Arabidopsis thaliana: one gene and its partners. The protein of the gene in region 2 interacts with the protein of the main gene of each other region in a pairwise test. Each region holds a gene or a part of one and is shown on either strand. Other genes may lie near its edges. The genes, in order: SIP1, CBL1, CIPK5 and CIPK9.

The links.
Region 1: the proteins of CBL1 (region 2) and SIP1 interact in binary tests that used the Arabidopsis thaliana proteins (3 or more experiments, as listed by UniProt).
Region 3: the proteins of CBL1 (region 2) and CIPK5 interact in binary tests that used the Arabidopsis thaliana proteins (3 or more experiments, as listed by UniProt).
Region 4: the proteins of CBL1 (region 2) and CIPK9 interact in a two-hybrid assay, tested with the Arabidopsis thaliana proteins (3 studies listed by BioGRID).

Annotation. Positions count from the first base shown.
Region 1 is NC_003076.8:23,595,385-23,602,986, forward strand, and holds SIP1 (SOS3-interacting protein 1), read right to left. Parts: upstream 3,970-7,602; 5' UTR 3,669-3,969; intron 3,351-3,668; 5' UTR 3,148-3,350; coding exon 1,708-3,147; 3' UTR 1,578-1,707; downstream 1-1,577. Other genes in the region: AT5G58370 (P-loop containing nucleoside triphosphate hydrolases superfamily protein), read left to right, coding at 39-74, 178-261; AT5G58375 (Methyltransferase-related protein), read left to right, coding at 985-1,140, 1,220-1,321; AT5G58390 (Peroxidase superfamily protein), read right to left, coding at 4,371-4,931, 5,373-5,564, 5,663-5,860. UniProt on the Arabidopsis thaliana protein: CIPK serine-threonine protein kinases interact with CBL proteins. Binding of a CBL protein to the regulatory NAF domain of CIPK protein lead to the activation of the kinase in a calcium-dependent manner.
Region 2 is NC_003075.7:9,813,636-9,821,721, reverse strand, and holds CBL1 (calcineurin B-like protein 1), read right to left. Parts: upstream 5,369-8,086; 5' UTR 5,112-5,368; exon of another isoform or gene 4,976-5,111; intron 4,736-4,975; exon of another isoform or gene 4,704-4,735; 5' UTR 4,581-4,703; coding exon 4,502-4,580; intron 4,088-4,501; coding exon 4,005-4,087; exon of another isoform or gene 3,742-4,004; coding exon of another isoform or gene 3,706-3,741; coding exon 3,646-3,705; intron 3,542-3,645; coding exon 3,433-3,541; intron 3,343-3,432; coding exon 3,290-3,342; intron 3,170-3,289; coding exon 3,089-3,169; intron 2,993-3,088; coding exon 2,699-2,992; 3' UTR 2,369-2,698; downstream 1-2,368. Other genes in the region: AT4G17616 (Pentatricopeptide repeat (PPR) superfamily protein), read right to left, coding at 90-2,114; AT4G17610 (tRNA/rRNA methyltransferase (SpoU) family protein), read left to right, coding at 6,812-6,967, 7,053-7,146, 7,234-7,340, 7,443-7,918, 8,006-8,086. UniProt on the Arabidopsis thaliana protein: Acts as a calcium sensor involved in the signaling pathway during growth and development and in response to abiotic stresses. May function as a positive regulator of salt and drought responses and as a negative regulator of cold response.
Region 3 is NC_003076.8:3,443,179-3,450,304, forward strand, and holds CIPK5 (CBL-interacting protein kinase 5), read right to left. Parts: upstream 4,101-7,126; 5' UTR 3,729-4,100; coding exon 2,391-3,728; 3' UTR 1,851-2,390; downstream 1-1,850. Other genes in the region: AT5G10920 (L-Aspartase-like family protein), read left to right, coding at 1-373, 460-714; ASG2 (transducin family protein / WD-40 repeat family protein), read right to left, coding at 5,712-5,793, 5,901-6,028, 6,122-6,192, 6,289-6,384, 6,517-6,607, 6,768-7,099. UniProt on the Arabidopsis thaliana protein: CIPK serine-threonine protein kinases interact with CBL proteins. Binding of a CBL protein to the regulatory NAF domain of CIPK protein lead to the activation of the kinase in a calcium-dependent manner.
Region 4 is NC_003070.9:62,747-71,233, forward strand, and holds CIPK9 (CBL-interacting protein kinase 9), read right to left. Parts: upstream 4,880-8,487; 5' UTR 4,767-4,879; coding exon 4,578-4,766; intron 4,152-4,577; coding exon 4,089-4,151; intron 4,004-4,088; coding exon 3,932-4,003; intron 3,812-3,931; coding exon 3,704-3,811; intron 3,597-3,703; coding exon 3,516-3,596; intron 3,415-3,515; coding exon 3,361-3,414; intron 3,119-3,360; coding exon 2,993-3,118; coding exon of another isoform or gene 2,987-2,992; intron 2,907-2,986; coding exon 2,817-2,906; intron 2,711-2,816; coding exon 2,585-2,710; intron 2,472-2,584; coding exon 2,364-2,471; intron 2,272-2,363; coding exon 2,155-2,271; intron 2,062-2,154; coding exon 2,005-2,061; intron 1,911-2,004; coding exon 1,824-1,910; intron 1,730-1,823; coding exon 1,652-1,729; 3' UTR 1,421-1,651; downstream 1-1,420. Other genes in the region: AT1G01130 (CBL-interacting Serine/Threonine-kinase), read right to left, coding at 811-1,065; AT1G01150 (Homeodomain-like protein with RING/FYVE/PHD-type zinc finger domain-containing protein), read right to left, coding at 7,369-7,539, 8,094-8,222, 8,295-8,487. UniProt on the Arabidopsis thaliana protein: CIPK serine-threonine protein kinases interact with CBL proteins. Binding of a CBL protein to the regulatory NAF domain of CIPK protein lead to the activation of the kinase in a calcium-dependent manner. Involved in K(+) homeostasis under low-K(+) stress.

The DNA of each region.
Region 1 (7,602 bases), on a different chromosome or scaffold from region 2:
TACTAATGTCAACAATTATTTTTCTTTAAAAAATGCAGAAGTTGAAGGCAAACAGATCAATTGTCCAGCCTCTGGTATGTATGAATATGATTCACCTAGTTTGTTGTTTACTTCCCTCTGTGGCTGCAGTAAAAGATGAAACCTAAGAAGCAAGTGGTTAACGTTAAATGATTGCAGATGATGGTGAGCTCAAGATCAGGAGCAGGTATAGGAAGTTTAAGAACTGCCCTTGCTAAAATTGCTAGGTTTGCAAAGTTTTAGGTTCTCAAAGCAATCCTCAAAACCAAGGTCAGGATTGTCTCTTACCCCTTTCCATAGTATGTAATAATGATCAATCAAGATTCAGATTCTTATAAAGAATTATTTGGCTCGTCTTTTCTTTATGGCAAAATAAAGGATAAGGAAGAAGTCAAAATGTTGAGATAAAGAAGAATGGTGTGACGATGATGATCCGACTAAGTTAGTGAAAACTGTCAACAATCACTTATGTTTTTGTTTGTTTATTATCTTTTTATTTGTCAAAGCCATCACTTGAGCAAATGAGCATAAAATGTTTTTCTCACGTTCTGACAGATTAGGTTTGCCCAAACCACTAACTTTTTTATTTTTTATTTTAGTCAACAAAAAATTATAGTAGGCCAAATTATTCTGTCAGAATATAATTTGTTAACCAGAAAGAAAGAAAAAAAAAAGTGAACTTCAAATATAAAATAGGACATATAAGGTTATTAGGTATATGAAATTGAAAATTCGAGGTGACTTTAGGGAATGGCCTACCTAATTTGACACTTCTTCAACAACTCCACCCTTTGAATTTTTCTCTTCTTTACCTTTTTTTTTTTTTTTTTTTTTTTGTTATTTACCCTTTTTTTTCCCTCCTCATCTCTCTCTCTTCTTCTTCATCAGCTCCTCTATCTCTCTCTTTCCTGATTGTCTTCATCAAAAACTGGAAAAAGCAAATCAAGAAAAGAGAAGAAGAAGCAGATGTGTCCGTTAAGGCTTATCCTCATATTCCTTTCAGCGACTCTCGCTGGCTTCTTCGTCCTCCAGAAGCTCAACTCTACCTCTGACGATCCTCTCGATGATTCCTTCACCGACGCTGAACACGCCGACGACGATTCAGTCTCTGGATTCTCCAAGGTTTCTTCTTTTTCCTCCGATCTTCATTCTCTCTCTGTAATTTGGGGATTAATGGGTTTTTCTGATTTTATGGGCTCAGGTGGGAATGGCAATGAAGTCTGGATTTTGGACATGCGTTGACATGGCAAGTGGTCGCTATCTCTGGAACAATCTCTGTTCAAATGCCAAACGCTCTTCTTGAGTTTTGTTACTCTCTATCTGTCTCTCTATTGTCTGTAACTGTTTAATTGAACTGCAATCGACGGCACCAAATTTACATATTGTCTCTGTACTATATACTATAGATCTTGTCTTCACTACTAAATCTCAATAAAGTCGAAGCCTTTATCCCAGTTTCAAAGAGAGTGGAGGATATGGCTTAGATTCTTGTTCTTCCTGTAATGCTGTAGAGTAAGCAATTGAAGTTCTCAATTCAAAAGTCTTGCCATTGAGAATTTCTTTAAACGACTTCTTTATATTATGATGGATTCCTTTTTTCCACAAATTAAAAATGTAAGAAACTCATATACGATTAACATCAGTGATTCAGTGTTAAGCAAAATTCCAAAAACTTGACAAGAACAAATTTCAAAACTTCAATGGTTCTTCCTGTTCTTGTTGTTCTTGTTGTTGTTGTTGTTGGTATTCTGTCTCTTGCTGTGAAGTAAGCTCATCTTTCTCACCCTGCCAAACCCATACAATATCTGACAGAGCAGGTCTAAGATCCTCTGCTACTAATTTCTGATACTCGAGAGTATCTCCATTTGATTTCTTCACTTCCACTAAATGAAAGTTTGGCGTCACTTGAAATATTTCTGCATCCATCGACAGAATCCCTTTTCTTCCTTCTTTTAATCGTTCCAATTTGAACAAACCTGCTTCTCGCTTTCTTATGCTCAGTTTCAATCGCTGTGCTACTTCCTCCAGCTTAGATATGATCACTGAAGCAGGTTTCTGTGATGTGAATCTAGATTCTCTCTTGTTATCATCTCCAAACAGTCCTGCCAGATCAAACCCAGCAGACAAGGCAATTAAATCAAAAGCGTTCAAATTTGTAGGTTCGTCTGTATGGTTTTCCTCCGTGACCCTGTCTCCGTTTTCACTTGGACCTGCTCCATTCTCACTTGGACCTGCTCCGTTCTCATTTGTACCTGCAGTACCAGCTTCCACAGAGTTTATCTCTTTGACTCGTTTCTCCATCTTTTTCTGTTTCATATGTAAACCTTTTCTGAACCAAGAACTCTCCCTGATTCTTGCGATGGTGATTCTAGTTTCAGGGTTAGGGTCTAGCATCTTACACAACAGCCTCCGTACTTCTGGAGCAAACCAGCTTGGTGCCTTAAAATCTGCTTTTCCTATCTTCCTGTACATCTCCATCAGATTGGAGTCATGGAAAGGTAGATAGCCTGCCAATAGGACAAACAAAACCACACCACAAGACCAAATATCTGCTTTTGTGCCATCATAGCCTTTTCGATTGATCACTTCTGGAGCAACATATGCAGGTGTACCACAAGTAGTGTGGAGGAGGCCATCTTGTCTCTTGCAGTCAGCAAGGGCGCTTAACCCGAAATCAGATACCTTGAGATTCTCATTATCATCTAGCAATAGGTTCTCCGGCTTTATGTCACGATGATACACCTCTCGGCTGTGGCAAAAATCAACTGCGTTGATAAGCTGATAAAAGTATTTCCAAGCAACATCATCTCTCAATTTCCCTTTGGCAACCTTGTTGAAAAGCTCTCCACCTTTACAATACTCCATAACAAAGTAGATCCTCGTTTTTGTTGCCATGACCTCATATAGCTCCACAACGTTAGGGTGTCTAGCAATCCTCATAACAGAGATCTCTCTCTTGATCTGTTCGATAAGCCCAACTTTCATAACCTTTTCCTTATCGATCATCTTGATAGCAACACTCTGGTTAGTAAGAATACTCCTTCCATAATACACCTTGGCAAAAGTACCTTGACCCAATAACCTCCCAACATCATATTTATCAGTCAAAACACTTGGCTTATTTTCCATCTAATCTACAAACTTATAACAGGCTCCAAAAAAAAAAAAACTACTTGATCCAGAGATAGCTCAGAGTTGGAGGTAGCTCATGAGTCATAACCTCATGAGCTCGTGCAGCTAATCCCCTAGTGATAGGAGGACACATCCTCCACCATTTCTGAGTTTCTATGCCGAATATGAATAAACCTCTTAGAAACTTGGTAGAATTGAGCCTGTCAAGTAAAAAAAAAAACAAAGCAATGAGATCTACTTCCAACAACAATCAGTGTATCGATCAAATCTAAACTCAATTATATGTATCGATCACGAGTCAAAACGCAATCATCAATCAAAACACACACACAAATTCTCAAACCACTAAAGCCCTAAACCAGAACCGATCATTCAGGTTATATAATTCTCCCCCATTACCGCATTACCTCTATATTAAAGAGAAAAAGCATAGATCGGCAATCAGAGAACCCTAAATTTCAACATGTAATCAACAATTCGCAAGGAGAAAACAAAACATATATGATCAAGACAATCACCGGTGAGGAAAGAGGATTCTGGGAATGAATCCGAGATCTAGTAGAAAGACGTGTAGATCTCTCTATCCGCCCCTAAAGGCCCCTTCTCTTCCTTATTTCTTTCTGGGTTTACCAACAAAAATGGAGGAGAAGACGGAAGAAGAAGAAGAAGAAGAGATGAAAACGAAGTTAAACGTCATTGGCGGTCCACGCACATCAAAAATAAAAATAATTTTTTAATTGAGGCAGAAGAGCAGAGGCCACTTGTTCCTCTGTGTCCTTGTCTACCTTATGACTTTTTACACTTGTCCTCTCATTCGCCTATTCACTTTTCATCCGACGGCTCACATTTTGCCATCATATATTTTTATGATAGTTTGCTCACCATTTTTTTTTTTAATGATATTTTATCTACTAATATTTGAAAAATCGTAGCATAGAGTTTATAACAAATCATCTACTCAACTAAATTTAAAAGTTTTATTTCTTTCAATCAGCCAAAGTAAGAAGAGAAAAAAAAAAAAAAAAAAATAAGAAGAGAATATAGACAGTAATTTATAATGGAAAACTGCATAGTCACAAACTTTTACGTGTTTATTGTTTTTTATATAATGAAGATGTATTTTAACAGTTGACGAAGAAGGGGAATGCACATGAAAAAACAGTTGACGAAGAGGTGATTATTGAGCTCAATGGGCTTGGGATAATATAAAAGAGAATCATTCAGTTGGGCCTCCGACAGTTTTGGCGGATCTGACCATTGGATCCGGTGAGGGGGCTGATGTCTCCCATCTTAATCATTGCCCTTGCAAAGTCGCGGTAGAAGGCATTGAGATTGTGGCTGTAAGCTATGACGAGCGAGTCGGTAGGACCATTATTAAAGAGGACTTGGTCTGACGTAAGCAAACCTTTTTTGCTCAGAAGTTGCTTGTAGAAGCCGTGGTCGAACCTATCGGGAGAGCGGACGTCAAGATTGGCTTTCTTGTTGTCTCCGGAGCCACTGGTGGCAGGACAGTTCCTCCGTTTAGAGATGGCGAAAGAGGTGTCGATATTGCTTGCGTTGTAGATTCGGTTTCTGAATGTAACACATTGGGCTCGTCCAATGGTGTGAGCACCAGAGAGGGCGACCATGTCACGTGTGGACAAACCTTGTGCTTTGAAACGGTTTATGAGGTTGCTAAGGGTAGTGATCGGAGGAGGGATGACTCCGGAGTTCGCGGCCGCGAAGTTCGCCGTCGTAGAGTCTCTTCTTCCAAGTTTCACGCTCCACCCCGGTCCACCTAGCTGTTTAGTCATATTAAGAAGTGTTAAACATTTAGATAAATGTTGGTCGGCTGAAGGGTTTGTAACAAAGGGAAAAACAAAAAACAAAAATTGGTCCGTGTTCATATGCTGTAAAATCGACCAAAATGTAAAAGTATCTTGTTAGGAATTCGTAAAGTAATGGTAGATTTATGCTATTTTGGCTAGATGTATGTGAGAATGATTTAGAAAATCAATGATTTACAAGAAAATCAGAAGGAAAAAGATGCAAGTTGCACTACAATTTTACCCTTCTTTTTAAGTTTTGAAAAGGGACAATTGATTAATTACTAGAAGATTCGAACTCTGGTTCTAGCTAGGTAAAATAAATGAATCCGAATCACTAAGCCACTTAACCATTCAACAATTATTACATGCATCTATGTAAGACATGACAAAGAGTAAAAGGGTAGAGGTGCTAACGAGGAGAACGGAGTCCCGAGCAGTGATGGCTAGAATGTCTGCGCATGAGACGATGCCCGGGCACATTTTCTCAACCTTAAACTTGATTTTGTCGATCACTTCGAACCCCCTCACAGAGTTATTGCTGGGTCCTGAGGTTTTCTCTCCCAAAAAAGACGGTGTGTCATCCAACAGTAAGGATCCGTCACACCCCTATCAAATCATATGCTTAGCATTTACTAAGTTTTAGGAGTAATTCATGGGAACATACAAAGCATGCTTCGTTTTTGCATTGAAAAAAAGTGCCTTACATTGACAAAACAATCATGGAAGAACAAACGAAGGAGAGAAGCACCCATGCGAGGCTCTCTGGCCACGGCCCGTTTCACGACTCGTCTCACGACAAGGAACAATGATGGACAGCTTTCCTTGTAAAAGTCACGGTTCAGCTGAGCCTCGGACTGTGACGCCAACATCATTATCATCATCAACAACACCACCTTTAACATACTTCTCTGCTTATCGTACTCCACTAATTCTCTTTGCTTCTTCTTTTTAAGACAAGATATAGCTATGAGTTATGAGTCGTTGAAGGACTCAGAGACTTGATGAGGGCTTTATAGAGAGGATAACTTACACGTAGGTTATTTTTGTTCACGTAGAAAAGTTTTTCTCGAATATCCACTATATTACTGGGTCCTTACTCCTTAATTACGCCACCTTTACCATATTCATGCATGTTTACATTTCCCTTTTTTCAGCACATTTCCCTTTTTTGTTTTCTACCAAGCATATCTTATTATACAAATTAAAACTCTAATGTTCATTATTCGTCGGGAGTATATACGTTTTAAGGTGAGCATACATTATTAAACTTGATATATCCATAACCATATCAAGATTTGCGATATACTATATAATAAACATATATAGTAATGTACATTATTATTTTAGTTTATGTTATAGATAGATGACAGTAATTATAATTCAAAGTTGTGATAATAAAATAACTAATCAATCCACACATTGGTTTTGATTTGAAAGCAAATGAATCTTTACATGATATTAAAGTAGTAGAATATGTGCCATCTAATTTGAATCCAAAGTGGTTCGATCTAAAGTTTTACATGCTAAATTTGAAGGGTTTCCTATCAAAACCTATTGCTGGTAAGTGGGTTTGATCCATATCCATTGATAAATTACCTTGGTCTCATTCTGTTTTCAGTGTAGGATTTCTAATATGTGTTCTCTTAAGGTGATGGATGGATCAAATTAATTTCGGATCAGATTAACTAGACCGGTTTTTGGGTAAAACCAAATTCATCATGAGCATGTGTTAAGGATATGATATATTGATAAGTTGATGAGACTAAGAATACGAAAGGACTTGTGGAATAATTGTATTGAACTCTTGTAAATATGAAGTTACAAAATGCATTCATTAGCTAGAAATATAACCAATATATTCAAAACTACCTACATCTACAATGTCTGCTAGGACTTTCTACAACGTTGATTGATATATCTCGGTTAGTGATTCTGCTCGATCAATCTCGGTTTTCCATCTGGCAACAGTTTTGTTTGATACAATAATTGTGGACATAGAGGATCTGATTGAAAGAATGTGAGGGCAGATAGGTCATATCACTGGGGGAGCGGGGAATAAGTTTGGCAGAAGCAGCTGACCTTCCAAGTTCCATGCATGCAACCACGACATTCCCAGCCCTTGATCACCTTTCATTATTTATATCATATAATTAATAGTTACATAAAAAAGTATCAAGGATTAATTTGTTCAAAACTAAAATTCTATTTGACAACTACTTCACTTCACTCCAGAACATGTATTGTTATTGTACTTGCCAACCCTAGAAAACAAAAACATGTCTAACACCGGCCGCCACTAAATTAACCGTTAGAGAATGGAAATAATATATAACCTACGCGATTTTTTTCGTTCAGACTCTAATTAATATAACTTATAAGTTTGATCCGTTTGTGGTTCCCACACCCACCGATAGAGAAAGAATTACTGATTATGGCGCAACAACTATATGACATGTTGTTTGAAAAGTTTATCAGATGAGAAACTAGGCCACTAAAAACGAATAATATCATCGTTGATCATATATACTCGTGACAAAATCAATTATCTACGTCCTACAACTCAAATTCAAGATAAACACCTCGAATTTTTTATTAAGTCACAGAGGAAAAACAGTGCGTTTGTCTTGCAAAAAGTAAAAAGTTG
Region 2 (8,086 bases):
AGAAGAAAGAGAGAATTATTAAGAGAGACTATAACCGTATGTATAAGGTATAAATGTAATACAGGGGATACGTAAATAAAGTCATACACTCATACTATACCAACTAGTTTCCTGAAGGTTTTGACATGCTCAAGCCTCTGAGCTTGAGCCTCTGTTACAGCATCTGATGCTTTCAAGGTTCTGTATAGATTCTTATGAAGCTTAAGATACTCATTCTTATACATGGTTAGATCATTATACATATCATTCTCCTTCATATAACTGATAAGCTCCATTACTCTCTCAAAATACCCGCCTCTGAGAAAGTTCACCACAAGCTTCTCTAACAGATCTTGTGTTGTCTTTAAGTTTTTGCTTGCAATGTTCCTCTTGATATCTCCCCACACGATTGTGATCTCCCGGTACATGCCAAGAGATGAGTACATGTCGATCAAGATCCAAAAGCTTTGGACAGTTGGTGGGATTTTCATCTTGGGGATTTTCCGGTAGGTTATTAAGGCATCTCCTTGCATTTTAGCTTTGCAGAAGTAGTAGAGGGACGAGTTTAGCTCATAGAGCATACTTGGAGCTTTCATTTGTTTTCCTGCATTGATTTCCTGAACCAAGAGATCCCTGAGCTCTGTGTTTTCACTGTCTTTCTCTTCAGTTTCTGGTGAAACCACAATTTCATTTGATGGATCTGTAATTAGGCCGGCTTTCGTCATTTGTTTCAGAAGAACTTCTGCATTCCTCAACATCTTGCTCTTGTAATAACCTGACAAGACCATCCTATATGTGGCCAATTCCATGGGATAGCCAGCAGAATTCATGTCGTCAAGAATATCATGAGCAGCTTCTAACCAACCAATAGCAACACAAGCATCAATGACATCAGCACATAACCTGGATCCACCCAGCGAAAACAAAAGCTTTGATAGCTCAGGGAGATTATCATGTCTCTTGTACCCATATACTAACTTGGCAAGAGTCTTGTTTGTGATACCAAGCTTGGAATTGGAATAATTAACAAATGTTGCTTCAGTATCCACTCCGAGAGATGAATCTCTCTGCAAAAGCTTGGGTGAAATATGGATCTTTAACCCAGATCTGATATGGTGTGACCCAACAGGCAAAACCCGAGGCTTTTCAGAATCAAATCCAAGATTCTCAACTGAAACCAAGACCTTACTCTTGCACATATCTAAGGCAAGCCGACCCGCAGAACCGATATCATCAAATTTGAACTCCAGGCTTAACAAATTATCAAAAAAATGCTGATAGTGACCAAGAAGTTGAGGGGGTACCTGACCAATATGCTCCTTGAACTTCCTCAACTCATCCCGCATACCATTCATTTCATAAATACAAGACATGATCACAATCGAGTACGCATCCGCAACGACATCAACTTTTGCCATTAGCTCGATAAGTTCTTGGCCTTTGAGAGAGAAACCAAATCTCACACAAGAACCAAGTACAAGATTAAACAAGACCGTATCAGGCTTCACAACATTCCCGGGGCTGCTATTTCTTTTCCCCACATTGAACTCCACAAAACGATCACAAACCTGAACCAAATAATTCGAAGCTAAGCAAGTCCCAATCTCTGTTTTCACCATATGCATCACAACAAGCCTCAATACATCTGAGGTTAGAACATATCCCTTCTCCAGCATTATTCGAAGGATACTACAAGCAGATTCAACCATCTGAGCTCTCGCTAGAGACAACGACAACTTTGTTAACACATCGCCACTTAACATACCTGGATTTTGCTTCAAAGCCAAACGAGTAAGATCACTAGCCTTACAAAGCCAACCAGCATCAGACGAGTAAGACAACACAGTAACAAATCTGTTCATGATTACACTCTCTGGAAATCCATAGAGGCGTTTGAAATCTTTAAACACGTCCCAAGCATCATCTACACGGTGATCTTTAAGAGCTGTTTCTAGCTTCTTCTTGAGAATTACTTGAGAAGAAACTTCCCAGTTTAATCTAGCAGGTTTAACACTAGTACAGAACAGAGACGGCTTTGAGGTGCGACTACACAAGACCCATGAAATTAGGGTTTCTACGTTACCGCTATCGAATCGACGAAATGATTCTAGAACTAAGTTCCGTTTCCTAAACATTAGTCTAGAATTTCGATTCCAAATCTAGAATTTAACAAAGAAAGCACAACAATGACGAGAACATGATAACAACATACGAATTCTCCAATCGAGAAAGAACCCTAAATTGCTGGAAACTTCGAAATCGAGAGAGAAGAGAGGAACACTGTAACAAGAGAAGAGTGGCAAGACTGTAAATTTCATCGGGTCGGGTCCTAGGACATTCGTACTTTCGCTTTTGCGGTTAAGGACCCAACAAAATCTCAAATTCACGTTTTTGCAGTATAAGATTCCATTGGAACAATTAGAACCCCGAGTAAACGTAACAAATCTTTACTTTTTTACTTGAAAAAAAACAATTACAACAAACGTATGATGTAATATGTACAAACTCATTAACATTTCCTAACTATATGAAGTGAAGGATTGGTGATTACGCGCTTCTTCTTTTTTTTTTTTTGTAAGCTAAAAACCCAAAATTTTAAACTGTTGTGAGAAGAAAAAAGTAACCCAAACAATTTCAAGAGAATATGCTCTACTACTGTTTACAAACAGATGTTGATTACACCGATTAGCTCAGACTTGTTCTTCCAACTCGTGGCAATCTACTCGGTCTTAAACCAGTTTGTTTCTTCATGTGGCAATCTCATCGACCTCCGAATGGAAGACAAAACTCGGAAACGTTGTCGTAATATCCCTGCATTGTTTATGTACAAGTTAATATGACATTTCATTTGGCATTTTTCAGTTTTCTTTGGTTTCCATAAAAGGCAATTTGTAATATACCTGAGATATGGAAGAGTCATGATCTTAAGCAATGATGGATTTTTGTTTACGAAATCACTCCACTCTAATTTATCAATTTTTCCATCTTGATTCACGTCTGCATCTTCAAATGTCTGTTCATATATGAGAAGGACGAAGGAAACCACATTAAGAACATCATCTCTAAATGTATACCATCTAGAAAAATAAAGCCTTAGACAACAACAAACCTTATCGAGTATTATCTCTATGGTTTCATCAGCCAGTTTCATTTCAGATTCGCAGAGAAGCGCGATCAACATTTGCTTGACCTGCAAATATATCACATTCATTAACGATTTCTTGCAAAGTTATTAAGTAAAAGATGAATACTCAAGAACATGGCAAAGATCTATCATGACTAGTATTCAAAGCTTGCAAGTTAGTATTACCTCTTGTCGTTCAATGTAACCCGTGCAGTCCATGTCGTAAAGCCTAAACGTAACTGAGAAAAAATGGCAGACCAGAATCAATAAATCTCTTCACAAAAGCTTCAATAAACACCTATATATGAAACTATCTTATGTCAACTTACAATCTATTTTGTCTTCTAGAGAAGCATTGGGGTGGAAAACATTGAGTGATCTTACAAAGTCCCCGAAATCGATGACTCCTTTTCGTTTAACATCAAACATATCAAATATCTGCGGAAAAGCAATATTGTTTAGGATAATGGACATATTATCTTGGTTTAGATCACTCTTCCAGAAGATGAATCTTGTAAAAGCCTGAAGAATTAAGATTTTACCCTATTAGCAAATATATTCTCCCTCTTCCGGCTTTTGAACAAAGCAAGTTGAAACTCCTCCTGCATACATGTGAAGCCAGGATTAAAAAACAACATAAACAAGGTGGGCCATGAAGGCTTCAAAATTCAAAATCAAAGCAATCAATAAAATAAGTTAAGTTCAAGTCAAACATTAAGGGCTACGATACATTGAATCGATGCAATATGGAACAGACATATCGTCATGGAAGAATAATTATTGCTCAAATAAAGTCAACTAAGTTGAAAAATACTGTAGATGAATAGCGTAAAGAACAAAAAGATACAACGATGGGGTCATGAAAAGATCCAAATTGGGTCAAAAGAAACAAACTTTGTACCTTGTTAATCAGACCATCATCAACAACCGAACTGCTTATGCTCTTGAATAGCTCAAATAATGCTTCAACCTCACTCACACTAACTGGAAAAGAGAAAAAAACAAGCAACACTACGAGATCAAAACAAAGAATTACCAGGAACAAACAAACAAACAAACAAAGAGACTAATAATTCACATTTAGAATTTGCATGGAGAGAGAACTCGTCTTGACAAGTTAAGGAACAAGATTAAGGTGATGGTATTGGTAACAAGAAACATGAGATAGAGTGTTAACCAACTTTGAAGGATCATTACTAGAAATTGTTAGGCAGACAAAGACTCCAAAACACAAAACTAAAAAAATCCAAACCGGAGATAAACTAAATCAGTGAACAGAGAAAGAATGATTTGAATCTAACTGATGATTCTCATCTCATATCAGAAAACAAATGAACATGCAGCTTTGAGAGAAATGAATCTAGAGGAGGTTTAAACTTATAGCGCGAGTAAACTTACAAGCTGTCTCAGAGGCAAGCTTAACAGGGTCTTCGTGTCCTCGAAATTCTTTTGCTGCCTTTGAGTGGAAGCAGCCCATTTACAGATGAAATAAGACGATGAAACCTTATACCCGAGCCCCGGATAACGAAGAAAAGGCGGATAAAATCCAACAGCTAATTCAGCGATATCTGAGATTCTATAGCTTGATTGCTACTGTTTACTGCACAATCATCACAAACATATTTTCAAAATCTACACATATGGAAACAGAACACAAACAATGCCATTTCATTAGAAACAAATCATCTAAAAAAATCTTTGTGAAACGTAAAATTGAAAACAGTCTAGAAGAATCTCAACAACTTTGCTCAAATTTTTTTACCATGGAAGAAAAAAGTGTAAACCCTAGCAAAGTAGCATCAATGAAGAAAGAAAAAAAAAACACAAAGTTCTTCGAATCCATAAGATACGGAGATGGAATCAAAATTGTACCAGTAAAACACGATTCGAAACCAGACGATCAATGTAGAAACATCGAGAATTCCACAGGCCAAAAATCAAACTCAAAAAAACGAAATTCGATGGAAATAAAAGAAAAAGATTCTTAAAAATAAGAAGCAACACTCACCACCCAAGAGAAACGGTTCGCCGGCGAGATCCAGAGAGAGAGGAGCTAGAAACAGCAAAAAGAGAGAAAGAGAGAGGAGACGAAGAAGATTGGTGAACGGTGATGGCAAGATGGATGATCGGACGGTTGAGATCGATTATTTATTTTTCTTTTTCCTTTGGAATGAATTTTAGTAGCGCTTATATGATGGCATATTCGCACGTGTGAATCATAGTAAGCGCGTGTGAGACGAGTCAGTTTTGGAAGTTAATAGAATCGGCGTTTAGTTCAGTTTTTTCTGTCGTCATGTAATTTCAGTTAGACCGAACCTAATTGTACCTAATTCCATAGATTGATTTCTGTTATGTTCATTCTGTACTATTTATCTTCTGTCTTTTTTTCTTTTTACAACTTGATTGTTACGTAAGCATACACGATATTTTCTATGTTTCTGTATACTAAGAATGGGAAAAATATTTTTTGGACAAGAAATTCAAAATTTCTTTTGTTTCTTCTAATATCCATTCACTTCCGGAATAAATCAAAGATCCGTCCATTTTATTAGTCAAAATGGCACCTCTTAGGAATATTCTGAATATACGGAATTGGTAACCCTGTATTATAATAACTTTTTATATAGTTAGTTTATTAGATATTTGCGATGCTCCATAATTTGACTAATATGCAAAATGGAAACGCCAATAATAAAGTCTGGGAAACATTTGTCTTCGACTGATCGTGTTAGTGGTCACCATATCTTCTTTTGGTTTTGCTATCTAAAAAAACACAAGTTTTTTAATCCATTAACATTTTTTGTTTCTTTGGTAAAATAAATCCACTAACATATGTGATATTTACAGGGTGCCATTTTAAAACCATAACACTCTTGACAACTGGAAAAAGGCTCTAAACTGTAATTATCTGTTGAAATGGTTATTAACTAAATAAATCAGATCATGAAGCCAAATCTCTACAAGAATCAATTTAATTATAAAGTATTGTGTTTATGAATTAAATATGTCGTAGACCAGTCGGTGTGGAATTAGTACTTCGGTCTGCAATGTGGCAGGCAAACGTTGACATAATTAGGACCTTAATCACGACCAGACCACGTGTTTATCGTTCAAAACAATAATAATAGCGTATATATATTAAATTTCTTGATTATGATTAGTAGCTTTGATTCTCCTGCCGTTAACTCGATCAATTAGAGTTTTATATCATTTTGATATCTTTAAAGCGGGCTTAAATTGACTCTTTGGTCACCGGCCGTGTTGGGAACGCGTCCTCAAAATGTTTTGTTTAATTTGCGTATACTACGGTATTATAATTTTATAAATGCAACATAATAACATCCGGATCCGTGGCGCAATGGTAGCGCGTCTGACTCCAGATCAGAAGGTTGCGTGTTCGATTCACGTCGGGTTCAATCCCCCGAACAATTTCCGGTTTTTTTTTTTTTTTCTTCTCCTGAAGTCTATCCCATACGGCCCAATCATACTAAGTTAAGCCCAAGAAAGCCCTTATCAATAATTCTAATTTCCCCCCTAATTATACGACTAGGGTTTATCTGTCCTAAGCCATGAAAATTATTTGAAAGGGTTTAACAGAGAGATTCCTCGTAACACTTCCCTCTGTACTAATTTCAAATTCGTTTACGTTTCTTCATCTATTCTGGCTGCTTGCAGCCAATTTTTTTGAAGTTCGAAGCTTCAATTGAAATGGGTTCGTCAGTGATTACTTCATTGTCACTGAGCTTCAAGCAAGTTCCACCAGCAGCTATTCCTGCTTTCCTTGACTGTGTTTTAAGCTCCACAGGCGTATCTCCTTCAACTCTTTTCGAATCTCTCATTGAGCAATTCCCTTTTCGTTTAGAGGTATTGATTGATTGGTTTATTGTTTCACACTTCGGCAATTTGCTTCGGATTGTTCAATTTAAGATTTGAACATGTTTTTGAATAGGATACGGTAAATGGGGACAAGAGATTTGATTCTGATGATTGCAACCACATAGCTTCATTGGTGGCTGGGCTTTGTCATCTACTAAAGAATTTTGGTGAGTTACCAATTTTGAATTTTTAGATATGTATGATGTGTTAGTGATTACAGAATTGTTTAATTGATGGTTATGAGGTTGAAGCAGGCTTTGTTGCTGCGGATAATCATAATGCGTTGCAGCTATTTGTGTGGAGAGTGTTTATTCCATTGATGAAGATGGTTCGTGCATATGATTTGGATATGCTTAATAAGGTAGAAATTTCTGCTGTTGACTATAGTCCTTAGAGTTTTGATCTCCTTGAGATTGTTGATCATTTTGTTGTTTCTTTTGGTTTCTTTGTTTGATTGTACCAGATTGTAGAATCGTTCTTTGATGTAGTGATCGAGACTAATGTATTGGATATGTTGGGAGTGAGCTTGGTGCCATTTTTACTAAGATCAGTTGGTTTTTCGATGGGAATGCGTCAACACGAAGAATCAGATTTCATCAAATGGGGCGACCTCTGCCTCCGTGATTCTTTGAATACAATAGATATGGATGAAAACTACATTGCACAGTTGTCTGGATCATTTCCAATTCCATTGTCGTGCCATCTTCTGAATTTGATTCTGAATGCTGCTTTTCAAAGTCACCAAGCAGCTCCGAAGGTGGAAAGTTTTGCAGCTGGTATGCTTTGGGATTTGTGTAATACGACTGAGCGGCTTTTGTCACAAAGTGTAGAACATCGTTCTTGTGCTGTTAGTTTCCTCCTCCCTGCTATTTTCAAGGCATTCTCTTCTCAGTCATCCTTGAAGATCTCACACCAAGGAAATCTGTTCATACTTTCAAGGTGAGGTTAAGAACCAAAAATTTATGTGCTTTTTGGTTAGTTTTTTTCTTTGATCTCTTTAATGATTTTTAAAGCTGTAAACTCCAGGAATGGCTTCATAAAAAGAATTTGGGAATGCTGCAAGAAGCTGTTCTCGGTTGGATCAATAGAGAGAAGGGATGCTTACAG
Region 3 (7,126 bases), on a different chromosome or scaffold from region 2:
AGAAGAGTGGGTACTGTGGGCTTCCGAGGAGTTTGGGTTCATGACTCCAAGTGATTCTGTGTCAACCGGAAGTAGTATAATGCCACAGAAGAAAAATCCAGACCCAATGGAACTTGTCAGAGGAAAATCCGCAAGAGTCATAGGCGATCTGGTCACTGTCTTAACACTGTGCAAAGGACTTCCCCTTGCTTACAACAGAGATTTTCAAGAAGACAAAGAGCCGATGTTCGATAGTACCAAGACAATAATGGGAATGATCGATGTATCTGCAGAATTTGCTCAGAATGTTACATTCAACGAAGACAGAATCAAGAAAAGTCTTCCCGCAGGACATCTTGATGCGACTACTCTCGCTGATTATCTTGTGAAGAAGGTAATGTGGTTTTTATTTATCATATCTTCCATTTTTGTAACTGAAGTCAGAAAGATAAATACTGTTTTGGTTTTTTGATTTCCCAGGGGATGCCTTTTAGGTCATCTCATGACATAGTTGGAAAACTAGTTGGAGTTTGCGTCTCAAAAGGCTGTGAACTTCAGAACTTAAGTCTTGAAGAGATGAAAAAGCTGAGCCCTGTGTTTGAAGAAGATGTGTTTGGATTTTTGGGGGTTGAAAATTCAGTCAATAAGTTCAGTTCCTATGGGTCAACAGGATCAAACTGTGTTGCTGAGCAACTTGGCTACTGGGTCAACAAGCTCAACATTACTTCCACCTGATCCGGACCAAACCATTAGCAAAAGATTTGATGACGTTTGTGTAATTTTCATATTTATTGAGGATTTTTGTCGTTAATACCAGGAAGATTTCAAGCAACATGTTGCAGCGGTTTGAGAAGACCCACAAACAAAATAAGTTTTGTAATATTTGAAATCGAGATAATGTGGAAGAGTTTGGTATTCTTCTCATTTCAATGCTCTCTACAATATCAATCTTTTTATATTCTACAATGAGAAGAAGATTAACTCCAAACTTGTGGATATTTGCCCAAAGCTTAAGAAGTTGGATCAAGGGAAGTGCATTGGAGTTAGGTTGTGATTTGAACATGTCTTTAAATTTCAAGAATACTTTGTCAATGCAGACTTCAATTTTCATTTGAGTTTTTTGAATTTTTGTTTTCTTCTTTTTCAAACCCAATTATTGTTCAGAAATACAACAACAAAAACTAGTGGATTGCATTTGGATGTGATTTTTTTTGAACATGGGGGAGGACCACACATGACATGACACACCCTCTTCCTTAGGAGGTGCAACATCTGTTACAACTTACAATATCCTTTTTATGTTCCAAACAAAATGTCATCCTCCATTTTATTATGACCAAACATAAAGTGACACAAATACGTACCAGTAATAACCTCATTGGTGTTTCTCTTCTCCTAAAATAGTTAAATCTAATCTTAACAAAAAACACTCGATTTAATACTATCCATTTGATGTTGGTGGAGTCACTTTCTGACTGTGACACAACCCTTGTCCTAAAATCCCATGTTAGCCACTGATTGATCCTTTTTTTAGATTATTGGTCGGATATTAATTATGGTGAAAGCTCCATTTCTTTCTTAATGGATTGAGTTTACTGGTGAACCTCATTACTCTTGTTATCTTTTAATCCTTGTTTTTGTCTGTATCCATTTTAACTTTTTGGGGGATTTTTCTTTCACTTAGTATAACTTATACGCCATTAATTCTTACAGGATTGGGTTTCTTCGAAACTTCTTGCATGATGTAGTCGATATTTTTTGTTCTTTAGGTTATTACATTATTATGCTTCTAAAAAAATTACAAAATATGATAGTAAACATATGGTATGAAATGGGTAATTTTGATAGACTGAATACACATAAACATACTCATTTATGCAGAAAATTCAGATTAGCATTATCTTCATCCCATCAATCACATCTAATCTTCTATCTTACGATCATGCCCAGCTACAATTCAAAGTTGGACATGTAGAAGAAAACTAATGAAAAAAAGTCGTCGGATCCCATAAATAAATTAATTTGTTGTGACTTTGTCCTCTCCACTAACTATTTGAACTTCAAAATTCAAATGATTTGACTTCATAACAGAAGGTGAATCTTTTCGAAGTCTCTGAGAAACCACACGTGTCGGTCTTCTAAACCACAACCCGACTCATAGTCATTTTCGTTTTCGACTTAACATACCCTTAATTGTCGATTAATTTAATCTGAACCCAAATTATTTATTCATTTGTACCTAAAAACAACACAATTAGGTTCAATTAGAAGCAAAATCAAAATCCTTACCAAAGAAAAAGAAGTAAAACCAAAATTTTATTAAACCAAAGAAAATTTGGGTTCAATGTAACAGTTCTTAGTTATACTACGTTAACCGATAACCGGTTAAATCAGAACCAAAAACTACTGATTCAACAATCCTCGGAAGAAGTGTTATTATTATCACCGTGCCATGACCAGACGATGTCGTTTAACGCCGGCCGTACTTCTTCTTCGTATAACCTATCGTACTCCAAAGTATCTCCCGCCGATTTGCAAAACTCCACCACCGATATCTCCGGCGCTACTTCAAACACTTCCGCCGTCATCGACAACCGTCCTTTTCTCCCTTCCGTTTTCCCTTCCATCTTCACTTTAAAATCCTTCGTTCTCTTCACTTTCATGTTCATCTCCTTCGTAACCGTTTCTATCTTCTCCATTACCTCCGTCGCCGACGACCGTGACGTAAACACCGATTGCACTTTCCTCTTGCTCTCGAACAAGCTCGATAAGTCAAATCCGGAAGACATCGAGGATATGAATTCGAAAGCGTTGAAGAATTTCGGCGATATCGGCTCTGTTTGATTTTCACAATCTCCGTCTTCTTCTTCTTCTTCGTTGTTTTTGCTGCTTTGAGAACAAATCGGTTCGTCGATTTTGAAAGCTAACGGCGGAGTGAAGTTTTTCCGGAGCCAAGGCGTTCTCATAATCGCCGGAATCGAGATCCGTCGATCTGGATCTACAACGAGGAGTTTCGAAATCAACCTCCTCGCTTCCGGAGAAAACCACGGCGGAAATTCAAAATCCGCTCTGAAAATCTTCCGATACATATTCATCAGATTCTCATCTTGAAACGGCAAACATCCGGCGAGAAGAACATACAAAACGACGCCGCACGACCAGATATCAGCTTTCGCGCCGTCGTATCCTTTCTTCTTTAATACCTCCGGCGCAACATACGCCGGAGTTCCACACTGCGTATGAAGCAATCCGTCTTGAAGAATCTGTTCCGGTAACGCAGATAATCCGAAATCGGAGATTTTCAAATCTCCATTCTCATCTAAAAGAAGATTCTCAGGTTTCAGATCGCGATGAGAAACGCCTCTACTATGGCAATAATCAACGGCTGAGATCAATTGCTGGAAATATCTACGAGCAGCGTCTTCGTGTAACTTACCTTTAGAGATTTTGCAGAAAAGCTCGCCGCCTTTAACGAACTCCATGACGAAGAAGATCTTGGTCTTCGTAGCCATGACTTCTTTCAATTCAACTATGTTGGGATGACGAACGAGCTTCATGATTGAAATCTCGCGTTTGATTTGTTCCATCATTCCAGGTCTCTTCATTACTTGATCCTTGTTGATGACTTTGATTGCGACGCACTCGCCGCCGATGATCTCTTTGCCGTAATAGACTTTGGCGAAGGTTCCTTTGCCTAATAACCTTCCCATCTCGTACTTTCCGAACAGAACTCGCCGTTCTTCCTCCATTTGATATTTACACCGACTAGGGAAAATGAAATAGTGGAAGAAGAAGATGAAGAAGGAGGATTAAGAAAAGGTGGTGTTGAAGCATGAAGTTTGATTAGTATTTTGAGTACATGAGGATATATTACTCTCATAGGTGAAGAAGTAGAGCAATTCCATGGAATATGGGAGAGGAAGAGAAATGAGGAAGAAGAAGAAGAAGTGTGCAAATGAATCACAAACGCAGCTACGTGGTGTCCTCTTATTATATACTGAACACTCTTTGAATTTATAGACAAGGTGATAAGCCACTCACAAAGTCACACATGTCACACTGCAATAACTTTACTTTTTCTTTGGAATTTGTTTTTTATATGGAAAATAAGTTTTTTTTACAAAAAAAAAAAAAAAAAAAAAATGGTCATCATTTAAAACATATTGTTTGCAGTTAAAAAAATTATGGGTACTAGATTTTGTTTTTGTTTTGTTATAGTGTTGTACATAAAGAATTTTGTATAACCTTCTATATTTCTACACACGGCATATTGTTTGCTAGATTTTATTCTTAAGAACAACATTCAGAACAATGTCTCTTGTGTTTTTTCCTTTCTTAATTTGTTAATTACTTGGACAAAACTAGATGCTAACAATTATTTCTAAGACTTTGGGGGTCATATGTATGTTTTTTTTTTTTTTAATATTCTCTATTACCTTATAATGTTAAATCATTTTTGTATAACGTAACACTTAAAATTTTCTATTATTTTACAATACACCAATTTCTAGAAGAAAATAAAACAGTGTCAAAATAATAATCAACGTCAAAGGAAATAGGCAATTTAAATAGGTAAATATAACACAGTATGTGTAAATAACATAACCTAAACTTTAGATTATGTTATCATCAAATAAGATTATGCTGTTTGAATGCTATGATTTTCTATAATTCTATTAAATTTTACTTTTTCACGAATAAATATCGTCGGAGAAAAAGGAATAGGTAATCAATTATTGACAGAACTTCCTTAAAATAATGTCAATAATTCTCTCCAACGGTCTAATGCTTTTTGTCCCCCTTATCTTATGTGGTGGTTCCACCCAACCTTTCGTATAAAAAATTTAAATTATTTTAAAATCATTTCATAAACTAGCATACAAATCAAGTTTCTGGTGAGTAGACCATGAAAATTCTAATTAACATATCCATTTTTTTTTAAAAACAAAAATTCAAAATCATTTACAATATTAATTTGTTTCTAAATCATATAGCTCAATTCCATTTTTATCATCAAAAGATAAAAGATTATTAGCCAAAACTTAATGCACGGCTAGCTAATCGTTATTTAGGGATGTCATGTCACTATCTTCAAAGTAGGGAGATCTATTGTGTTCCACCAAGGAATGTTTTAGGATCTAGTCTACTGATCAGGAATTAGACTACTTTACTAACCATTAATAACACCATAAAAATATAACTAATAATTGTATACAAAAAAACACGTATGCGGGATTAGTCCAAATAGAAGCATACCTTGTCCAAATACATACTAAAGTCAGGGGCAGACCCACGTTATGGCTTGTGGAGGCAAGTGCCCCCAGCAGCAATATATAAATAGGTAAAAAAGTTTACACTAGACAAGATTAATTAAAGCAGCAAAGTGGTTAGAGCTTCCTCCACAAGTCTATATTAAAATAACGAGATTGGACACATAACACATACAGCCTTATGCTGTCTACTAAACGCGACAGAAATGAAAAAACAATGTAAAATAACGATGAATATTCACATTCAAAAGAAGAAGCCAATATCAAACTGTACAACAACAACAACAACAACAAAAAAAGCTTTTAGAAGGAAGCTATGCATGAGTTTTACAGAGAGAAAGCTTTTGCTACATATGAAACCTAATCAAACCTTATTATTCATTATTCATATTCAAAACCATTGTTATTCCACCATCACCTTCACAAAGCAAGCTTATTATACCTCTACAGTTCCCTCCTGCTTTAGCTCTGAGTACATTCAAATGGGTGAAAGTTTCCTTCTGCAAATTCTTGCATCCTAAACCTTTGCATTAGCTCCACAGACCTGCAAATGAATCATCAATGTACCAAATCATCAAACCCATTTTGTGTACTCTGAAACCGCCTTGGAGCTTTTATATTAACTCAAACCACCTATCCCAGAAAACTTACAGAGGATTCTCTCGATTGCGGCTTAGCTTCTGTTGATTACTCTCCATTACTTCCACTACATTGGCGGTTGCTGGTCCAGCTGATCCTCCTGCTACAATTGATGGGACTGATGCGGTTGGGCTCCATATCTGTACACATATTTTTACATGCAAATGTTAGTTTTAGAGATCTTACACGAAATGAAAACCAAACCCTGAAGACAGCTTTGTGTGCCTGCTTACCTTTATTGTGTTATCAATTCCACTCGTTGCTACAACACTATCAAACGGATGGCATTGAATGCAGTTCAAAACTAGAGACGAAAGATGATTCTTTTAGCCAACTCGAAATTCAATGAAAAAAAAAGATACTTATGTAATGGATAAAATGTGAAAGGAAAAAAGATCACCTGATTCATCGCCAACGAGCACTTTCATAAGCCTTCCAGTCTGTTTCTCCCATATAAACCACCGACCGTCATCGCTTCCACTTGCAATATATTCACCTGAAATTTGGTAATAAAATGTTCACAGAAAGTCGATACCGTATTGAATTTCAAATTTTATAAACCGCTTTTTCTACTAGAATGGAAAATTGCACTCAGATAACATGAAAGTTGCAACCCCAAGAAACTTACCTCTCTGACCAAGAAAACTGGCCTGCTTAATATCAGTTCCTACGTTACAGTGGCCAACATATCTACGTTTCATATCAATGGCTCCCTCTGGCTATAATCACCAAAAAACCATTGGTGTAAAAGGTATCCATCAAATTAGGTAAAAGTATGACGCAGCATAAAAGAAGTCAAGTACTAACTTAAAACGTATTCAATGTGTTAAATTTGTTTTGCTTTAAAATAAATAACAATACCATAATCTTAGAACTAACCTGATAAGACGTCCTATCATTTTGAGATGACGATGCAGTTCCTGAGGAGGCATTGTCAACTGTATTTTCCATCGGTTTATCATCACCTACTCTATGAATTCGTAAGTTGAGACTGCCACGCATAGAATTTGAGTCTGTATCTCGTCCTTCATCATCAGACAACGAAGTTTGAATATCCAACTCCAATTCCTCATCATAATCAGAATCTTCTCTTTCGGATCTCGACATATCATGTGAACTGTCACTGTTGGCCTCTGATCTATATAGTATGTCGCTTAAAGAAAGTACTCTAGTAGTTCCAGCTCCTGTCTCTTCGTTTTTCTCAGCTCCAGCTGATTTGTCAAACAAAAGACAAGTAC
Region 4 (8,487 bases), on a different chromosome or scaffold from region 2:
CAAAAACAAAACAGAGTGAAACAAAGACAGAGATAGAGAGAAAGTGTAGAAACACAACATGTGTTTACTGATATTGAAGCCATTCATCTTCTAGTAACTCTGCAATACTTATACTCTGCATTTCAGAAATACTGTATTACTTTATTTTGCTTAAATTTAGAAATAATTCTAAGAAGAATGGTTCCGTTCTCACATTGTATTTTCAGATAACATTTTTATCGAGGATATTAACAAAACACGCTATCATATAACACTAGTATGGACTCAAATTTGTAGTTGTATCATAAGTCATAACAAAAAAAAAACAGCTTAAACGAAAACTAACGTCAATAGCTTTTACTGTATCCAACAATATCTCACACTAAACCTACAAAATTCTTTTTTTTTTTTTCTCTCCGAAGAATCTTACTCAGAGATTTAAGCCGTGAGTTGGCCAAAACACTAGTGACATATATTCACGTTCAAAAGTTTATCTTGCAAATCTTGGATTTCTTAGTTTCATTATCAGATTAAAACAGAATTTCAATAATGAGGAAAAAGCATACCTACTACTAGTCTACTACTTTCTGCAACAACAAAACAAAAAAACTAAAACCAAGAAAAGCCCCAAAAGATTACCACAAATTAAGGAAACTTAAAGCCCATTGATTTCAACATCTCAACAGAGCTCTGACTTTGATTAACCTTGTTGTCTTGTTGAACCTTGTCACCGGAGTTTCCAAGGAGAGCTTCAATTATTTCTTTAAAAGGAATAATCTCTTCTTTCTCTTTCTCTTTCTCTTTCTTGTTCTTGTTCTTTCTTCCGTCTACTTTCCATTTGCCACCACCCCATTCATACGACGGATCCATCCACGGCGGCAACACCCTCCTCGCAGCCACTTCTCCGGATGCCGACGCTGTTTCCTTGTCTGAAACCCTAGATTCGATCTCTTTCGGTTGATTCGATCTCGCGTAATCAGATTCTGGTGAAGTGGGAACAGAAACCATTACGATTCTTTCTTCCGGAGGAGGTGAATCCCAATCACCCAAAATCTCTACACTCTCTGAATCTGAACGTTTCTCCATTCTTAAAAACTTTGGAATGCGAAATTTGCGACTTTATGGGCTTTACGGGCTGTTTGATTTGAAAGATTAGACAACTCACACAACTTATTGGGCAATTAACGTTGGTCTGCTCAACACCAACTCCTCACTAGAAACCACTCCGTCATCAATGTGTGACTGTACATCAAAATAAAACTTTTTTTTTTTGGTTGCAAACGTAGATCTATGTAGCTAAGATAACCTCTCTTTAATAATTCTATCATTGTGTTTTCCAAATTGTTATATATGTTGTGTCATTGTAACGCGTTGCCATAAAGCGACAACATCGTTGCAACTTTCAACTATACTCAAATAGCCAGCTTGCAGAGTATTTTTTGCCTAATTGAATTGTTTGAACTTTGATTTATAGGTTTCAAACCGAGTTTGAGGATGATCACATATGTGGCTATTGACTAACCTATGGTGATCTACCTCTATAGACCACTTCTAGTTCTAGTTTGGCTCTTTTGTCAGCAATACTTGTATATTGCCAACTCCAGAATGTTTACTATTCATTATACATGTTCAACATTGATTAAAAACTTTGAATTGAACAACTTGTTATTTCTTATTGCTTTTGTTCTTCAGCGGCTGCATCAGTATTCCAGACTACATCCTTTAATCCAGATGAGAAGTTTTTGTAGAACTGCAAAAGAGATTCAAACATAAAACCAATTTAAACACTAAACTAGAGATGTTAACCGGATCAAAACCGAACCGGTTTTTGATGAAGATCAAACCGAATCACATACCTTGTGAAACTCGAGGGTATCACCACCGGTTTTCCTAAGCTCTACCACATGCAATGATGGCGCCACTTCAAACACCTATTAAACCGATTACCAAACCATAACAATTAGATAACGATATTCATCAAAATCCAAAAACCGAACTGAACCGGAGTATTTTTTTCTTTCTTACCTCTGTAGCTACGGAGAGCTGACCTTTACGACCACTTTTGTCTCCTTTCATTTTTATCTGCGAAGTTTACTTAAACAATGTTTAACGAAGCTACAAAGACATTAGTTGACACAAACAAAATCAAGAAGAAGAAGAAGAAGAAGAACAGACCTTGTAGTTGTCTTTACGGACATTAAAGCCTAATGGCTTTGCGGTTTCTTCCATTTTCGACATTATTTCACTCGCAGATCGTTGAGAAGTAAACCGCGTTTCTTTCTTCACAAGTTGCTGCAAACAACAACAAATCAGATTTAGTTAGATAAAACCTATGCATGATTTTAGAAAATCAAGACAAACTGTAAGTAGAAAAAAGTTCTTACCGCTTGCTTCTCGAACAAGTTTTCAAGACTGAACTCGCTTGAGCTAGAGATAAGTTCGAAAGCGTTCATGGATACAGGTTTCTCCTTCTTCTCAGTTACAAGACATTCCTAGAGTAGCAGCACAAAAAGAGTGATATTAGTTGGTAACAATACATTGGTTTACTTAAACCGAACTATGATATACACAACCAGATGGAGAATTTGGAAATGGCGGTGTTTACCTTGGAGTTACTAAAAGCAGCATCAACATCATCTATGGTTATGTCCTCGTCATCTTGGTCAAATGATGGCGGCTTGTACCCTTTCTTGAACCATTCATCTTCGAGCAACTCTGCAATACTTATTCTCTGCATTTCAGAAATAAGTACATACTTAAGCTCTTGCACAATCTATGGTTGGCAGCATGTCATGTTCACATTTTCACAACTATTACTTCATGTAAGAGGCACTTACGGTAATAGGGTTGGGTTCGAGAATACGCTTGATGACTCTCTTGGCACCTTGCGAGAACCATGGTGGGCAGCTAAACTCAGCCTTGCATATCTAAAGTATATATTAAACACCAAAGATGAGACTAGAAAAGTACTGCAGAAGATCAAGAAGCAGAGGGAGAGATAATTTACACGTACACGTTTGTATAATGTCATGAGATTCGGCTCATCAAAAGGCAAGTAACCAGCCATAAGCACAAAGAGAATGACACCACAAGACCAGACATCTGCTGCTGCACCGTCATAGCCTTTGTCCGACAAAACCTGCCAGCAAATCCAACACAATGCAGTAGACAACATTAAAGGCATATCTCTTATATACATCATAAATAAAGAAGATTCTGCAAATGAAGTCTATATATACGTATAGCATTTGTTAGATTTCCTTCCTTTTTAAAAACGTATTAGCAGTTCTTGAATTCCTTAAAATCTTATTTTCCAAAGAGGATCTACAGAACATTTCATATTCTTTGCCTTTTTAAGTGCTGAAAGTTAGTACATAATACCTCAGGGGCAACGTAGTTTGGCGTTCCACAAGCTGTATGAAGCAAACCATCTTCCTGCATTCAAAAGAACAATGCTTAGAACACTTCATTCAAATTGATATCTTGGTTATATATATCAGAAATTAATTGCCAAGTGAAAAATATAATGGCATTACCCGAACTTGTCGTGAGAAGGCGCTTAACCCAAAATCAGAGACTTTCAAAACCCCATTTGCGTCAAGGATCAGATTTTCAGGCTGCAACAAGGAACAGATGATAACAAAAGAAACTTGAATAAGAACTAAGAAGAATGAATATCGTAATCACAGGAAACAAGAAGAGTGCACAAAAACAAAAGAAAGACCTTGAGATCTCTGTGGTAGACACCTCGACTGTGGCAGTAATCCACAGCATTGATGAGCTGCTGAAAATATCTCCGAGCTTCATCCTCCTTAAGCCTCCCTTGTTGCGCCTATGTATATGATTTAAATCCAAGAATTAACATAAGAGTAAGAAGAGAGAAAGACAGAGAACATATGTCAATATTTGTGAAGAGAAAAGAGAGGAAGATTCTCTAAGTTAGGTTACTTACGATTTTATCAAAGAGTTCACCTCCATTGACAAGCTCAAGAACGATATAGATCTTCGTTTTGCTCGCCATAACCTACCACAGAGAGATGTTTTACACGCTAAGATTCAAAACTTAATTTAAAAAATATCTAAGGAATGATAACTAATTAGTTTCGTACCTCAATGATTTCAACCACATTTGGATGTTTAATCAGTTTCATTGTAGATATTTCTCTTTTAAGCTGCACAACAACAAAAAAATAAAACTTTATGATCATTATATCTTCGAGATCTTGCTCATAACTTCCAATCATACATATATAGCATACAAAACTAAATCTTCAACAGATTCAAATCGAACCAAATCAAAAACAAAGCTACTCGAACTTCAAAACCATATCCATATCATAGTTAATAGTTATCTTGATCAATGCGTACTAAGATCAGCATCGTGTAGATATATACAGAAACAAAAACATTCATACAAAATTCGATATTTTAAAATATTATTGTTAACACTTTAATCAAACATTAACCTTAATAACCGAACACCAACCTAGGAGGACATGTGGGTCCCTAATCACGAAATTAAACTGTTCTTTATAGTACTTAAAAACAAACAAATCCATAATCATTTTACGTGATCAAACCAAACACAATTAACGAACCTGTTCGACCATTTTGTGACGGAAGACCTTTTCTCGGTCGAGGATTTTGATAGCGGCTTGATCTCCGGTGACGGTGTTCTTGGCGTATTTCACCTTAGCGAAGCTTCCTTCTCCGAGAGTTCGTCCCATCTCGTAATTCCCTACTCGCGTCCTACTCGCCGGCGTCGCCTTCCTTCTGCTTCCACTCATTTTCTTTTTCCGATTAAGAAAATCAACGGCTCTAGATCGGCGGCGAATCTATCAATGTGATTCTTCTCCCTCAATATCTCTCCTTCTTCTAGTGGCTGCCTGGTTTTAAGGCTGACGAGAGAAAGTGGACGAGCGAGAGATTTAATAGGCGCGACTGGGAGTCACGCGCGTATTGTGGGTCCCGTATGCCACGTAATGTCAAAAATCATTATTTTGCTCTGTTCCGCGTCAGTCCCGTGTTATTTGTACTTGTGTACGTTCGTAACGTTCATTCTTCATTCATATAAAAAAATTCCATAATTTTGTTCTTGTGTGGTAACTATATACAGAAACTCCTGTTTAAGTATATGGATTTTATGAAAATTTTGGGGTTTTAAATTTATGTGGATATGGTTTTATTTGTAAGGGATGTGATTTGATGTCCTTAATCTTTATGTGTATATGAGTATATCTTTCAGTGATTCATTCCATTCTACTGATGTTCAAAGTTGACTGTTATCATATTATTTGATATAGTTGTATTCTTTTCATGTAGAAATATTCTCTAAATATAACTTTTTTTTTTGTCTTTAGTTAGAAGTTGGAAACTACCTAAGAACAATAAATACATATATCAAATGTTGGTAGTTAAATGATGATTGTTATATCTTGGTCAAATTTTGTTTAAATCTATGATAATATTCGCATATACTTACTTTTGTTTAAATTTGATGTAGCTGTTTATTTTTGTTTGTAACGGTTCTAAATTTGATTATTTAAAGTATATGATAATAAATAAATAGATAATTGAAATAGTTGATCTTTCCATGTGACGATGTGAGTAAAGGGAACGGTATGAATATGAACCCCACATATCCTTCCTGATAAACTCAGAGATTTCACAGAATGTGATAATGTTTTTATTTTTCTTCTTTCCTTTATTTGTTTCTCTTATTTTCTTTCATATGATAATGCCAAAATACGCAGAAAAATTAAAAAAGTGTGGCAGACAGTGTGAGTTGATGATTTATTGCATGACTAGTAATAATGATACAATAATTTTTTAGATATGTTAGTATATTACGAACAAAAGAAAATGCAAATAATGCACAATGAACCACTCGTTCCAATAATTGAGTCCGGTACAAAAACATCACGTCACCATCATATGAAAGCAATTCATTTGGTTATCAATTTGAACTTCTTCATTCCACATTTTTTTTATTTTCCTGGTTATGAGTTGGAACTTATTGGATTATATGGATTAAAATTTAAAACCTATATAAACCAAACTATTATTTGGTTTGATTTTGTATTTACTTTCGGTTTAGCTTGGTTTGTAGATAGTTCGAGTAGACCGAACATCCGAGTCCTACATATATAAGAAAGATTGGCCCATTAACCAAATTTAGGCTTGATTGTGAATTAACATTAGGGCCCAACTAAAATACTTTTTTTTTTTTTTGCCATCCAATAACATTATTATCGCATATGTTCCGCATCATCGTTTACACAAATGATCAAATTGACCAAGTTAAGTTTCTTTTCTCTTTTTCTACATAATATTTGTTATTTAAAGCATTTGTATAAAATTATATACTGATAAGTGATGGTATATTCAATAATTTGTGTTTGTCTTTTTGTGATACAATTAATTATCCTTTATGGTTCCATTTTTTTTTCGTTGACAACGTTGAACAAAGATGGTCAAGGGGCCTAACTGTTTCTCACACAGTTTCCTTTCAGGGTTTAGTATTTGCCGTTTTAGTAACGAAGTTAGAGATTCATACGTATAATTATAAATAGTAGAGTCGGGTCAGATTGTGTTTCTTATCTAATTGTTATATATATAAAATTTGATAAAGCATATAATGTCTTGAAAGATTCAATCGTGAAATATGTGTACAAATATGTAAAATCTAGTTGCACCGCACGGCACCTTTTTTTCCTTCCTCTCCCACGTTTATTCTCGCCTCGTAACAGAAATTATAACTTGGAGTACTATTATAAAATACCTCAATAATTTTAGTTCTAAAAACATGTATATCTAAATCTAAACCATTGTGTATTTTGGAGTTGTAGGAGTTTTTTTTGTAGTAATTTAGTAATACATAACATAAAATGTGTCTTATGTTTAGATTTGCCTTTCATACATTGACCAACCTAAATCGGAGTCGGACCAGCTGGAAACTGGTCTAAATGTTTAATCGAGTTTTAGGTACCCTATCTAAAACCCAAACACAAACTCAGTTTTGCTCATAAATAATCTCTAAAAACCAAACACATTTCGTTAGAAAAACGACTAAAAACCGAGTTTAATTGAAATATACTTTCTAAACCGACCTACACGAACCGGAACCCGACTGCATATATACTTACTTACTCATACACTCTAACAATATAGAATCTATTATTGTCATCCATCTTTTCTTTCACTTCACCTAACTCCCAGTAAATTAATTAATAAAAAGGCGAATCATAACTTGTTTAGATCCTCTTGCAAATGAACCACGAAAGCAGCATGAACACGAATATGAAGAAGAGGACAAGGAAGGAGAAGAAGAGTACGTCGTCAATGGTGTTCTTGTATTCGATGATTGTGAATATATGTGGAGGATTGTTTCTAAGTTATTGGCTTTACAAATACCATCCCACAAATTCTAATCTTTGGATGGTTCCTGTTGGACTCATCTTCTTCATCACTCCTGCGTTTCTTTCCCTCTCCATTTTGATCTCCGATCTCTGCGACGACGATGATGATGTCAATCTCGACCTCAACCAAATCAAGATAATTCTATAAAAGTTTTGACTACTTCAAGTGTTGTCGTTTATTTGGTATTAATTATTATTAACCTCCGTACAAATGGAAGACTTGTGGTTTTATTGTTAAGTTTGTAGATTTTTTCACCTTTGTTTCCGAAACATTTGGTACTTGTGCGACAAGTTATCTCCCCATAGTCTTAAAAGATTAACCTATTTTTAAGTTCTTCAAAATTATATCCATAATTCCCATATGATTCTCTTTTTCTCAATCCTCTGTTTTGTTTAAAGAAGGGTACAAAACAAAAGACTAACAGAGTGGGACGGCTACTACAAAAGACACGTTATCTTCTCTTAATATCAACATAAGGGATACAAAGCGAACATCATCTATAAGGACTACTGTTACCAAAAGATCTACACGGAGGAATCCGAAACTGCGATTACAAGGAAGGACTAACATCAAAGTCGTCACACTACTATACTGCCAATTCAAAAGGTCACTAGGATTTGTCTTAATGTTTTTGATATCAAATGCGTCATTTAATACTTCTAAGGATTTTATGGTGAAAGGAATCACATACGCACCATATTTCTCCATTTGTCCTTAAGATCGGAGGAATTACGAGTTGTGTGGAATATACCTTTTCCCATCTCCAAAATCTTCTTCCAAGGCATGTTTTTGTTGATTGTATCAGAAAATTTCTCCACTCCCTCCTATCCAAAATAAACATATACTATAAGTTTAAGCTAAAAGTGTATTTCAAGAAAAAAGTGTGGTGGTTTTACCCTCAACATCTTCTCTTCGTTGACTGTCCATAGTACCCTTTTTGGCTGATCATTAACAACAGCATAAGCTTCTCCGCAAGATTTCTCCATATCAATGAATTGATCTGTTGACTCGTCTAACTGGGAATTTCGAGCCTTAAGGTGCTTGACCAGTTCTTGTAATTGATGAAGGTTCTCATGTAGTTGCATTGGT